3 linked regions of the Drosophila melanogaster genome follow. The protein of the gene in region 1 purifies or fractionates together with the protein of each later gene. This does not show direct contact. Each region holds a gene or a part of one and is shown in the gene's direction. Other genes may lie near its edges.

What was found.
Region 2: the proteins of Sf3a2 (region 1) and Ndc80 purify together in Drosophila melanogaster (affinity purification with western blotting; one study listed by BioGRID). This does not show direct contact.
Region 3: the proteins of Sf3a2 (region 1) and Prp31 purify together in Drosophila melanogaster (affinity purification with western blotting; one study listed by BioGRID). This does not show direct contact.

Annotation. Positions count from the first base shown.
Region 1 is NT_037436.4:12,812,440-12,815,922, reverse strand, and holds Sf3a2 (splicing factor 3a subunit 2), read left to right. Parts: upstream 1-1,903; 5' UTR 1,904-2,015; coding exon 2,016-2,810; 3' UTR 2,811-2,895; downstream 2,896-3,483. Other genes in the region: CG42588 (uncharacterized protein), read right to left, coding at 1,043-1,391; Sap130 (Sin3A-associated protein 130), read right to left, coding at 3,094-3,243, 3,307-3,414, 3,473-3,483.
Region 2 is NC_004354.4:13,609,167-13,613,843, reverse strand, and holds Ndc80 (Ndc80), read left to right. Parts: upstream 1-1,781; 5' UTR 1,782-1,878; coding exon 1,879-1,964; intron 1,965-2,026; coding exon 2,027-2,086; intron 2,087-2,148; coding exon 2,149-2,533; intron 2,534-2,601; coding exon 2,602-4,098; 3' UTR 4,099-4,173; downstream 4,174-4,677.
Region 3 is NT_037436.4:15,157,566-15,161,786, forward strand, and holds Prp31 (Pre-mRNA processing factor 31), read left to right. Parts: upstream 1-1,534; 5' UTR 1,535-1,604; coding exon 1,605-1,703; intron 1,704-1,759; coding exon 1,760-2,211; intron 2,212-2,273; coding exon 2,274-2,892; intron 2,893-2,951; coding exon 2,952-3,287; 3' UTR 3,288-3,398; coding exon of another isoform or gene 3,399-3,534; 3' UTR 3,535-3,573; downstream 3,574-4,221. Other genes in the region: Msh6, read right to left, coding at 1-922; CG7011 (uncharacterized protein), read right to left, coding at 3,399-3,534, 3,600-3,807.

The DNA of each region.
Region 1 (3,483 bases):
ATTTTGAGCGCGCACTTGACGATTGAACCACCGAAAGAGTACGAATTGTTGTGGCACGAGTGGGTCTTGAATCTAGTTTGCCAGACGAGTAGTCAAAAAAAATATTTACCCTTTCAAGGGTATCATATTTATGAATTAAGCTCATTATCCCTATTTTACAATTAAGTGTAAAATTTTATTTGCTTTTGACCAATTAAATTTTCATAATTTATGGCTTTACGTAGTTAGTACTCTATCACACAACAACAAAAATTAAATGATTATTGATTAAACTCATTATTCAATTGTTAAAATTTAAAAAAAAGTTTTCGTTAAAAACTTTTTGTGTTACATTTAACAACAACGACAAAAATATTGAAGTGTTCTAGTATTAGCAGTATATTTCATCTCATTTCAAAGAAAAGTACCAACTAATCTAAATGTCCCGAATTAATTTTTTTTTGGTTTTTTAAATTTATTTATTAAAAGAATATTAAAATATACATAAAATATCCTTGTAAAACATGTGATTCTCTTGGCTTATTAAAATATCGATCGTTTTAAATAATTAAATACCAAATTATGTTATTCAATATAAATTTTATTGGCAGTATGTTTTGGAAATAATAACGTCCTGTTTGACAAGTGAACATATTGTAGATGTTCAGATACAGATACAGATGGTTAGCCATCCTAATATTTCTAACCTATAGACCTGAATTTTTAACAAAAATAGACTTTTTTAAACTAAAAAAAATTATTTTAGGTTGCCATTCGAAATACGTAAAAAATAAAATATATCGAGATACACGAAAAGAAAGTGAAGGCGCCGCACTCACTGCGAGACGAACTCAGAACAATTAATACAAAAACTAACTCTTTGACAATCTGTCGGCGTCTCAATCAGTTGCACCATCGTTTTGGTTTTCGGTACTGTGCCCAAAACTCGTAGAAGCATTTAGACGATTTTCGTATCACTTGGTACAAAACCCCTGGGTTTGTAACGGTTTTTTGGGCGATGCACAGCTTAAAGCAAATATATATATATACAAGTATGCATTACCAGGCTGACGCAATTGTTGTTGTGGCGACTGCAATTTGCTCTCTGGCGCAGTTGGCGTCGACTGCGCTGCGGCAGAGGTGGAAAGACTGGTGGACGATGGGGCGTCCACCCTCTTGGCATCCAGCTTCTGCTTCCTAAGCACCTCGGCCAGCTGCCTATCGAGTCCAGCCTCCTTGAGCTTGTTGAAATCCAGCTGAATCTTCTTAATTATTCGCTTGGGCGGAGCTGCAGCAGTTTTGGTGGCGTGTGGAGGAGGGGCGCTGGTGGGATTACCGGGCTTCGGTTGATTAGAAGTGGTGGTCATTGGCGCCGGTGGACCCATGATGACCTGTTTGCTGGAGTTGTCCATTTCGCGGTTACTTTAAAAATCGCATAAGACACTGGCACTGTTTATTCCACGAAAATGACGACAGAAATCGAAATTCTTAAACACTCGTTGCTTCGATTTTTCTCAAGTCCGACGTAATCCACGCAGTGACATTTAAATAAAACACGCTTTTCGAGGCCTAGTACTTGTCACCAACACTAGTTTACTTTAGTTTAGATCGCTGTCTAGACATTTTTCACTTTTTAAATTCTAAAAAAGATCAAGCATGTGCAGCTCGAATTAATAGTGTGACCGCTTTGAAAAAGTAAAATATTCTCAAAGCTTCGGAACGAAAATATACCAAAATATTATATGTAATTCTTTAAAAAAACATCGCAAAAGGAATATATAAGTTATTTTATGTATATTACAGTTTGCAAAAATTTGACTATCATTAAGAATTTTAATGGATTTATGAAACATTCTATTATTTATTTAATACTTTAATCCTGCACACGAACTATCGATTGACTCTGATAAACTACCACCCCTAACCGAATTGGCGTTTCTTGACAACCCTGTTCTGTACAACAAATTTTCATGAAATTTTACCAACGCAAAACGTTTTTCCTTCGTGCGGTTGAAAACTAAAATAAAGTTTACAAAATGGACTTCCAAAACCGCGCCGGCGGCAAGACCGGCAGCGGAGGCGTAGCCTCCTGGTCGGAGACGAACCGCGACCGCAAGGAGCGACTGCGTCAACTGGCCCTGGAGACAATCGATCTGAACAAGGATCCGTACTTCATGAAGAACCATCTGGGCTCCTACGAGTGCAAACTCTGCCTGACGCTGCACAACAACGAGGGCAGCTATTTGGCCCACACGCAGGGCAAGAAGCATCAGGATAATCTGGCAAGAAGAGCCGCCAAGGAGGCAAAGGAGGCACCCTCTTCGCTGCTGGCGCCCGAGAAGCCCCGCGTGGAACCGAAGAAGTTCGTCAAGATTGGACGACCCGGCTACCGGGTGACCAAGCAGCGTGAACTCAGCAACGGCCAGCAGTCGTTGCTCTTTCAGGTGGACTACCCGGAAATCACGGAGTCCATTGTTCCGCGTCACCGCTTCATGTCCGCCTACGAGCAAAAGATCGAGCCGCCAGACCGCAAGTGGCAGTACCTTCTCTTTGCCGCCGAGCCGTACGAGACCATAGGGTTCAAGGTGCCGTCCCGCGAAGTGGAGAAGAGTGAGGGCAAGTTCTGGACGCACTGGAACCGTGACACCAAGCAGTTCTTCCTTCAGTTCGCCTTCAAGTTCGAACCTAAGATCCTGCCGCCACCGCCGCCGAATCTACATAGGGCACTAGGCCCCCCAGGCGGATTCCCCATGCCGGGACCGCCACGTCCTGCTATGCATCCCATGTTCAATGGCGTTCATCCACCGCCACCCATGCTTTCAAACAACTAATTCATCGACAATGTTTACGGGATTTCTCCAAACGCAAGCCGATTACCACAGAAATATTCAAATAATAAACAATTTTCTACTTAATACAACTCGAGGGTTTTTGTATTTGTGTTTCTAGCTTAATAAATTGAAAAAATATTGCTGGTTTTCTTTGTAGCTGTACGACTTACAAATCGATCGCGTTTAAGGTAATTATCTTGGATTCTATAATTTCTGCTTAAATTAGGTAATGTACAACTTATTAATACACACTTGGCTGGCCATCTCCGTTCGTCAATTACTTTTAGATCTTTTCGCGCTTCTTGAAATTCCTTTTCGAAGCGCAGCGGGTGATTATATTAGAAACGTGTGGCTTATGCTCGAAGATCTTCATTAACTGATTCTGTGCCTCGTTGATGCCATCGGTAATAATCTTGCTGCGTTGAATGTTTCCCTGCAAAGTAAATTGGTTTTATGTTGAGATTCAAGCATAATGGATATAAGTATAAGAGCGCACCTTTAGCAGTTCAGTGACTCGCTCAATTTCGCTGTGCTTCTCCTTGTCCTTTTCGAGATCCTGCAGCATGGTCTCCAGCCTGCCCAGACTAAAGACTTCCGATTCATTCTGTAAGAAATCAGTTCAGTCAAAGTAGCCTACCAATACTTTCGTGCCCATTGCTTACCAAGTCCTCCA
Region 2 (4,677 bases), on another chromosome or scaffold:
CGACTATATTTCACATCTGGTTTCCGAAGTTTTGCTTAGAGCAGTTCGCCAGACCATTGCATTATATTGTACATTATATATATGGGTGTACAGACATTATATACATATATATATATATACATACTTGCATGCATTGTATTTGCGACTCTACTTAAGGCAAGTCCACCTTTTGGACTGGCTCTCCACCTAATCGCAATCTCTCGGTTTCTGTTGCTGCATGTTCTTAATACTATTTCACCTAGCTCCCCACCCCTCCCCACATATTATATTCAATTTTTTTTATTTAACCAAAATTTTAGTTAAAAAAGAGACAATTCAGATTGTAATCTATTTAGGCAAGTGGTAGGGTATCTCTAGCATTAGAAGAAGCTAAAAGTAAAAACAATTTCGTAAAACCAAAATTTTTTCTCTAGGATCATAATTATTAAGCTGAGCTAAAAACGAAAACAAATTTTAACTAACTAAGAAGGGACAAAATTGAAATAAGATCAAAAAAGGAAAACATGTACATTTTGGAAGAAAAATCAAAGTCCACAAAATTTTAACGAATGAGAGGCAAAAAATCAGACAAAAATGAACCACAAGAGAATGAAAAAAAAAAACAAAAATGGAAATAGGTTTCTAAGATGTTTTAATATATTTTGTAATAACAATGCTCGAGTATTTTTCATGTATGTAGTTTTTGATCCAAAATTGAGCGATCAACAAAGGCAAAGGGGTTCTCAACGATCGGTTCCTCGAGAGGATTTGCCAATCATCGATCATAGGGCTCTATTGCTGAACGCTTTGTTTTGGGCACAACTACCTCCTCCGCTTGGCACCGGCAGTAGCCTCGTCTGTGGAGGATCTGGTGGTCCGCTTCCGTTTCTGGCTGCTAGGGGGCTTATCTTCGGCAACTTCTTCTTGGGATTCGGATGCCTTTGCCTGCTTCTTTTGGGCTTTCGGTTGTCTCTTCGTTTTGACCAACTCTTTGGATTGCTTCGCTTCCTTTGAATCGACTTGAGTTGGCTCTTCCTCGGATTTCTGTTCCTTTTTGGATTTACGCGAAGTTGAAGTTGAAGTTGGTGCCTTCGTTTTTGATAAAAACAATATTTAGTTAATTTTTTCTGGACTTATTGGGCCTTCCCTACCTCGTTTTCCTGTGCTTCCTCTGTGGACTCCGACTTCTTTGGCGATGCTAGAGCCTCGGACCCCGGTAAATCAATTTTAGATAACTTCTGCGTGTTGATCTGTTCCTTGGACTCCTGCTGGTCACCTAGAATCCCTACAATCCGATCGTATACCTCCTCCACAGTGGGAAACTTGCGAGCACGTGGTGGACCCCGCTTTAGACCCGACCAAAGTGCCACCTGCTCCTGCTTTCCCATTCCGCCGGCGCTCAAACTTAACTCGAAGGCTCCTCGCCGTGGTGCTCCAAGTGCATTCAGCTGGAGCTGAAGCTGTTGGAGACCACGCTCCCGGAGAGCGGAGTGCAGCTCCTCCGCTCGACGACGAAAGACTCGTCAGGATCGGCAGTGCTCTACGTAGAGCACCGGCGCATTGGGATCCAGCTCTTCGCCTGCATCCCGCTCAGCGATTGGCGCCTGTAGAATCGTTTGGAAATGCATTTAGCTATTGAAATAATGTAGTATTTCAATCGTACCTCTGCTTTTTTGTTCCGTTTTGGTGGCATGATCCTAAAGTAATCAGAATTTTTAAGTAAATGGCGCACTTTTTATTTGGCAGTGCTGCCAGATGGTTTAGTAACACTAGGGTGTCAATCGCGACTGCATCCCTGGAAACTATCGATTTGCCGATAACAGGCGTTAAACGACGCGCGATTCCCAATCAAACTGAGTAAACATTTAATTTAATCAACGTAGTTTCAATAACGCCAAGATGTCGCACCTGATGCCCCGGCGGACCAGCGAGTTCCGTGGCGATGTACTGGAGGAGCGAGGCACTGCCGATAAGCGGCAAACCAGGTGAGCATCGAAATCCAACTGATCAAATCTTGTCAACGATGCAAATGCGTATCCTTTTCCAGGGCAACAAAGCGGAGCGCAGCCACGCACACTCCGTCCTCCAGCCAGGCGGCACCCAGAAGGTATGCACAACCATTTGATTATCGAAGGCACAACCAGTAATGTTTGAATCCAATCCGCATAGGCCGTCCGCATCGCGTCTGCCGCAGCCGCTGAACTTGGAGCGCGATCGGGCCAGTCAAATGGGCGTGACGCCCAAGCGAGGCCACCGGTTTGTGCCCTCCACTGCGGAGCGCGCCATTGCGCCACACTCCGACAAGAAATGGGTGGCGGAGAGGGCACAGCAGATCCTGGAATACCTACATGGCATTCAGAACAGCGAGGCGCCCACTGGACTTATTGCGGATCTATTCAGTCGGCCCGGGGGTTTGCGACACATGACCATCAAGCAATTTGTTTCCATTCTCAACTTTATGTTCCACCACATCTGGCGAAATCGCGTGACAGTGGGCCAGAACCATGTCGAGGATATTACCAGCGCAATGCAAAAGCTACAGTATCCTTATCAGGTAAGCAACTCGGATGCTCTTAGGTTTCCAGTGTTCGTTTAATTCTTAAATCCACTTGTGACTTGCAGGTGAACAAATCATGGCTTGTATCGCCAACAACACAGCATTCATTCGGCCATGTGATCGTTCTGCTGGACTTTCTCATGGACTTTTTACCGCCTCTGCCCTCGTCGGATGTGGTGGAGGAGGAGTTTCCGTTTATGGAAACCATGGAGCAGCCCAGCTCGTATCTGAATAGCATGCACTGCGAGTCGACGACCATCATGTCCACCACACAGGCGCACGCCATTCAGCTAGATGAAGACGTCAATGGTCTGCTCTTCGAAGAGGCTAGCAAATGCATTGCCTTGTGGGATCAGGAGCTTACCAATGAGGAGGCCAAGCTGCAGGCGGAGACCAGGGATCAGGTGATCAGCAAGAAGTGTGATTTGCCCGATCGCAAAGCCTTAGACCAGCTAATCGGCGATCTGAAGACGAAACTACAGCAACTGGAGAATAAGTTGCATGATCCCAGTGAAGACAATAAACTGAACAAACTGGAACGTCTTACCAAAGAGCACGATCAGCTTGCCCAACAGCTAGCTGCCAGTGAAGAGGAGCTGATCAAGAAACTGAAGTTATACGAACAGCTGTCTGCCCAGGTAGAAGAAAAACAGTCTAATCTCCGCCAGCAAATGAAGTATGAAAAGCGTCTGGAGCAGGCGGTTAACAGGCAGAAGTTCTCCGCCCAGCAGCTAAAGGAGCTTCAAATGAAGTGCGACGATATGGAAAACTACTCCAAGGCTTATGAGCGCCAGGTGAAGGAGGTGTCCGAGCTGGAGCTGCATCAGCAGGTGATGCTGTCGCGCGCCAAGCAAAAGCAACTGGATTCCGTTGAGGTCTTTAACTCGCACGTGCGCCACCTGAGCATGGACCCGGTGATTTGTGGCCTGATAAAGAGCGGCATTGGCCAGCAATCGGACCTTACTCTGCCACTAAATCCCAATCAAGAGGACATCTCGGAGAGGGTGCAGTGCCTGGAGTTGCTGGGCAAACTTCTGCAACAGCACCGCCAGCAGAATATCGATCGGCGTCAGATGTTGGACAAGCAGGTGGCCAAGGTAAAGTCTGATTCCATCGAGTTAGACACCGAAATCGCCACCATGGACTCTCAGTTGCGGGCGCAGAAACAGCGTCTGACCAAAATGGAGGCCAGTTATCGGACCAAGCGCGACATGCAGGCGCAGCACAGGCAACAGCTGCTCGAGGATCAGTACGACCAGACCGCCCGTCTGGATGAGTTGGAGAAGAGGGAGAAGCAGGCGCTGGAAAAGCTGGAAGCCAGCAAGCAACGGAACGAGGATCTACTCACCGCTGCTGAGCAGTTTCAGGAGCAGGATCTCAAGGCCCGCCAAGATCGCCTGGAAAAATGCGAGCAGAAGCTGGCCAAAGCGGAGGACCAGCTGCTCGCCGTGGAATCAAAGGTCAACGCGACTCAGGCCAAGCTGAACGAGGTGGAGCAAAAGGTGTACTCCGCCAAGCTGCCATCCTTTCAGCCCGTGCTAGATGCCATCAAGAATCATTGATTTGATCCGGATGTTTTGTTGTAGTCCAGTTGATCTGTAAGGAATTTATTAAAGAGTATTCTTTGTTTTCAAATTAAAAAAGACAATGAAGCTGTCTGCAATGTTCAATGTTTTATGTTTTATGAAATGCATTTATTTTTGATTACATTTGAATTAGGTAAATTGAGTTGAACACAGCGGTTCCTGGACAAAGGAGGGGATGATACTCCATAATATCAGATTTCTTAAGTTCTTTATTGCCACACGTATTACGGATTTCATTACGGATCTCCGCTGCCTTTTTTGGGATTACAAATTGCACTTGGAACGGTTTAGCTTTACATGGTTATACATATGTATACACTGAGTGGTGGGTAAATACGGCAAGGGTAACTTAAGCGTAGGTATCTATAAATATTAAATAATATTATCATTTGGCCAATTTTGTGTAGTTTAGCGTGCGATTGACTTGTGCCACAAAAAAGTTGCAGGGAAACGTTTGCATTTATTGCTATTAAATTAATTAATTTGGATATTTCATTTGTGTGCGCTTTTTTCGTATTCGTAGATATATATTTTGTCATTTTTGGGCTTAAAATA
Region 3 (4,221 bases), 2.3 Mb from region 1:
GCATGTAAGTGAAGCCCAGCTCGTTGACGCCCACATCCGCATCCATGTGATACAGTTCATAGAACTTGCCGACTTTAAAAAACAAGACGCAGTCATAGTTGTCCGACTTAAGGACCCACCACTGTCGAACTCCCGGCGACAGGCCATTGAGGAACTTCTCCGGCACATGCAAGGTGCTCTTATCGTAGTCCGGATGATCTGGACGTCTTCCCTCCTTGTCCTTGATCTTGTCCGGTTGCAGGAACTCTAGTTTCTGGTGCGGCCAAACAACGGGCTCATCCAGATTGGACGTGTTGGTCACGATATCATCGTAGGAAGCATCCTGCTTGGCATTGCTCTGCAGGTTCTTCAGCTTTTCTTGAAAGGTTGCACCCTCGGCCAACTGGATGGTCGACTCTAGCTTGACCTTCTTGCTCGATGGCTCATTGTTATTGTTGTTATTCAGAATCTTAGACTTTTTGCGCGATTTCTTGGGTGTCGGACTGTCCACGGACATGTCGTTCTCGCTAGGCGACACCTCCTCCGCGCCGCTGCTAACGCTATCATCGCTGGCTTCATTCTCATCCGGTTCGTAGTCGGAGGCGCAATCGGAGAAGTCGTCCTCCGACTTGGTTACCTCCATTTCCGGCTCACTGTCCGATTCCGGCTGAACGATGCGCTTCCGCTTGCGTTGACCACTGGCCGGCTCATCGTCGGAAATGGGCAACTTCCTCTTGGCCGCCGGCTTGGAAGCCTCTTTCTTACCATCCTTCACTTTTGGCTGCTGGTTCTGGAGATTCTCCTTTTCGCTCTTGGATGCATCGGGATCTGTTTTCACGCTAGGAGTCAATTTCTTTTTGTCGAAAGCTGGCGACTTGGAAAAGTAATTTAGTAGCGTGTTTGTGGGCGTCCCGCCCACGCTGGTGTTTAACTTCTTGGACATGACAATGGCCTAGAAACGTCTGCCAGGTTACTCAAAAAACCAGGATGCAGACGCTGCGATTGTGCGCCAAAACCAAAAAATATTCTGTCAAATTGTGGCTTAATAATACCGAAATAGTAGCTTGACTATTTAGTATATTTAGGGAACTCGTGCCCGTTGGAATTTTCGAATACCACTGAGGAGATTTTATTTTTTCGTTACAATTTGATGCTTCTTATATAATAAGTCATTTTTTTTCATTTTTGATCTGTGTTTATCTAGGCTTTGTTGTCCCAAAATAAATAAAGAGTGATAGTTAAGAATTAAGCAAAACAATTGATAGCCATACCTATATTTTCATCAACCTTATATTTTCAACCATATTTTCAATTCCTTTACTTTTAGATACAGAATTCTAATTAAGCAGGAAAATCGAAACTTTCCAGAATAATAACAAGAGTTATGATATTGGATCGTTCTGTTCATGAAATGTTTATTGAATTTGGTCAAATTGATCAATTAAAATCCAGTGGAATAGCCTTATGGTATTCTTTAAATGAATACCCTATATATTTCATGCTAATACTTAGTATTTTTTCAATGAACCGCATGGTATTCTAAGGCGGCTGAGCAACGGTCACTTCAATTCCAAAACAAACTTAATTTCACGAGATCGCAAAATAAACTTTTGAAATAAGCCAAAATGTCGCTAGCCGATGAGCTTTTAGCCGATCTCGAGGAAGACAATGACAATGAGCTGGAGGAGGAGGATTCGGAGATGGCCAGTGCAGAGGACGAGAGCGTAAGGAACCAAAGCAAATGTTGATCAGACCTAATGATTCCCCTCCCACAAAACAGTTGCTGGCGGAGAAGCTGGCTAAGCCGGCTCCCAATCTGATGGACGTGGATGTAACCGTGCAGTCGGTGCGGGAACTGTGCAAGCTGCGCGACTCTGAGCGCCTGAAGAACACGCTGCAGCAGATCGAGCACTATGCCAGTCGCCAGAGAACTGCAGCCGAAATGCTGGGATCCGTAGAATCCGATCCAGAGTACTGCCTCATCGTGGACGCTAATGCCATAGCTGTGGACATTGACAACGAGATCTCCATTGTGCACAAGTTCACCAAGGAGAAGTATCAGAAGCGATTCCCCGAATTGGACTCCCTGATCGTGGGTGAAATCGAGTACTTGCTGGCGGTCAAGGAGCTGGGCAACGACCTGGACCAGGTCAAAAATAACGAGAAGCTGCAGGCTATTCTCACGCAGGCCACCATTATGATTGTGTCAGTCACGGCGTCCACCACACAGGGGTAAGTTATTTGAACGGTGTAACCCAAAATAACATGTCACTGAATCCCATTCCCTTTCGCAGAACCATGCTGACACCGGCGGAGAAGGCAAAGATCGACGAGGCCTGCGAAATGGCCATCGAACTGAATAACTTCAAGTCCAAGATCTACGAGTATGTGGAAAGTCGCATGACCTTCATAGCCCCAAATCTTTCCATGATTGTTGGAGCATCGACGGCGGCTAAACTCTTGGGCATTGCTGGTGGCCTTTCCAAATTATCCAAAATGCCGGCCTGCAATGTTCAGGTGTTGGGTGCACAAAAGAAAACCCTCTCGGGCTTCTCACAAACGCAGATGTTGCCGCACACTGGCTATGTGTACTACTCACAGATTGTGCAGGATACTGCGCCAGATCTGCGACGCAAGGCAGCTCGCTTGGTGGCCGCCAAGTCCGTGCTGGCTGCTCGTGTTGATGCCTGTCATGAGAGTGTCCACGGGGAGATTGGACTGCGCTTCAAGGAGGATGTGGAAAAGAAGCTGGACAAGCTGCAGGAGCCGCCGCCGGTGAAGTTCATAAAGCCGCTGCCCAAACCCATCGAGGGAAGCAAGAAGAAGCGAGGAGGCAAACGCGTGCGCAAGATGAAGGAACGATATGCGCTGACAGAGTTCCGCAAGCAAGCGAACCGCATGAATTTCGGAGACGTAAGTTTCTGGCTTAAAAATATAATGGTTATGTATTAATCTTTGAACTTTTCTTTCAGATCGAAGAGGATGCCTACCAAGGAGATCTGGGCTATTCACGCGGCACCATCGGCAAAACTGGCACCGGCCGCATCCGATTGCCCCAGGTGGATGAGAAGACCAAGGTGCGCATTAGCAAAACGTTGCACAAGAATCTGCAGAAACAGCAGGTGTACGGCGGCAACACCACGGTCAAACGCCAAATCTCCGGAACGGCATCCAGTGTGGCCTTTACGCCACTGCAAGGTCTAGAGATTGTGAATCCGCAGGCGGCGGAGCGTTCGCAGACGGAGGCCAATGCCAAATACTTTTCAAACACATCCGGATTCATGTCAGTGGGACAGCGGACCACTTAAGAGAACAGCTCTATCCTTATTTTCTATAAAATTAAGCACTTTTATTTGGAGATTTGTCGAATGTATATTGAGTTAGGCGTAGTAAAGCTGCATAAGAGATTCGAATTGTTGTTAGCTGAGCTTGCCGACTTCCAGTTTCCGTTGAATGGCCTCCCACGAGTTGTTCAGCAGCACGGCGAGAATGCCGGCCACCGTGAACACGCCTCCGATGATGGAACAGCAATTCGTGGCGAAGTGGCCAAATGAGCTGGGAATACACAACACAACCAATAAAACTTGTAAAATTAACCATTAGCTTTGTGGCTTACTGACCTGTGTCTCTCCGCATATTTCACCATCAGTGGCGAGAGCTCGTAGCTGAAGAATATCCCCGGCATTCCGCGCTCGCGATCTGAAAGATCTTTTCGGTATCGCGTGACGGAGAATTGATTCGTGTATATGGGCTCGCCGTCGCTGTTTCCTCGCATATATAATGTGGGAACAATTTTTAAATAGTAATTGAACATTTCACTTTTGGTTTCTGCAAAAAGAGGAGAGCAGATTTTCTAGTTTACTTCATTTGTCGTTGATAAATGTATTTAATTTGGTAAGGTAATTACGAATTAAACTTCATGCTTCTAAAAACAGGTATTTCACAATTCGAACAAATGAGTATATTTTTTCCAATTTAAAAAATGAAAATGCCCCACACAACAGACCTCCGAAGTTTCCCAGAAATTCTTCGAGGAGTAAAATATAAATTAAAATGGATGCCTGTGCTTAAATAACTTAGTTTTTTTTTATTTCAGTCTTAAGTATGCTTTTTAATAATATTAATAAATAAAGAATATAAATTGATTTTAAAGCACCCGCTTTTTAGCTACCGCCCCCTATCGGCTTTCTCTAGAACGAGGCAAGCCGAGCGAAAAACAAAGTGGCAACCCTTCTATAATTT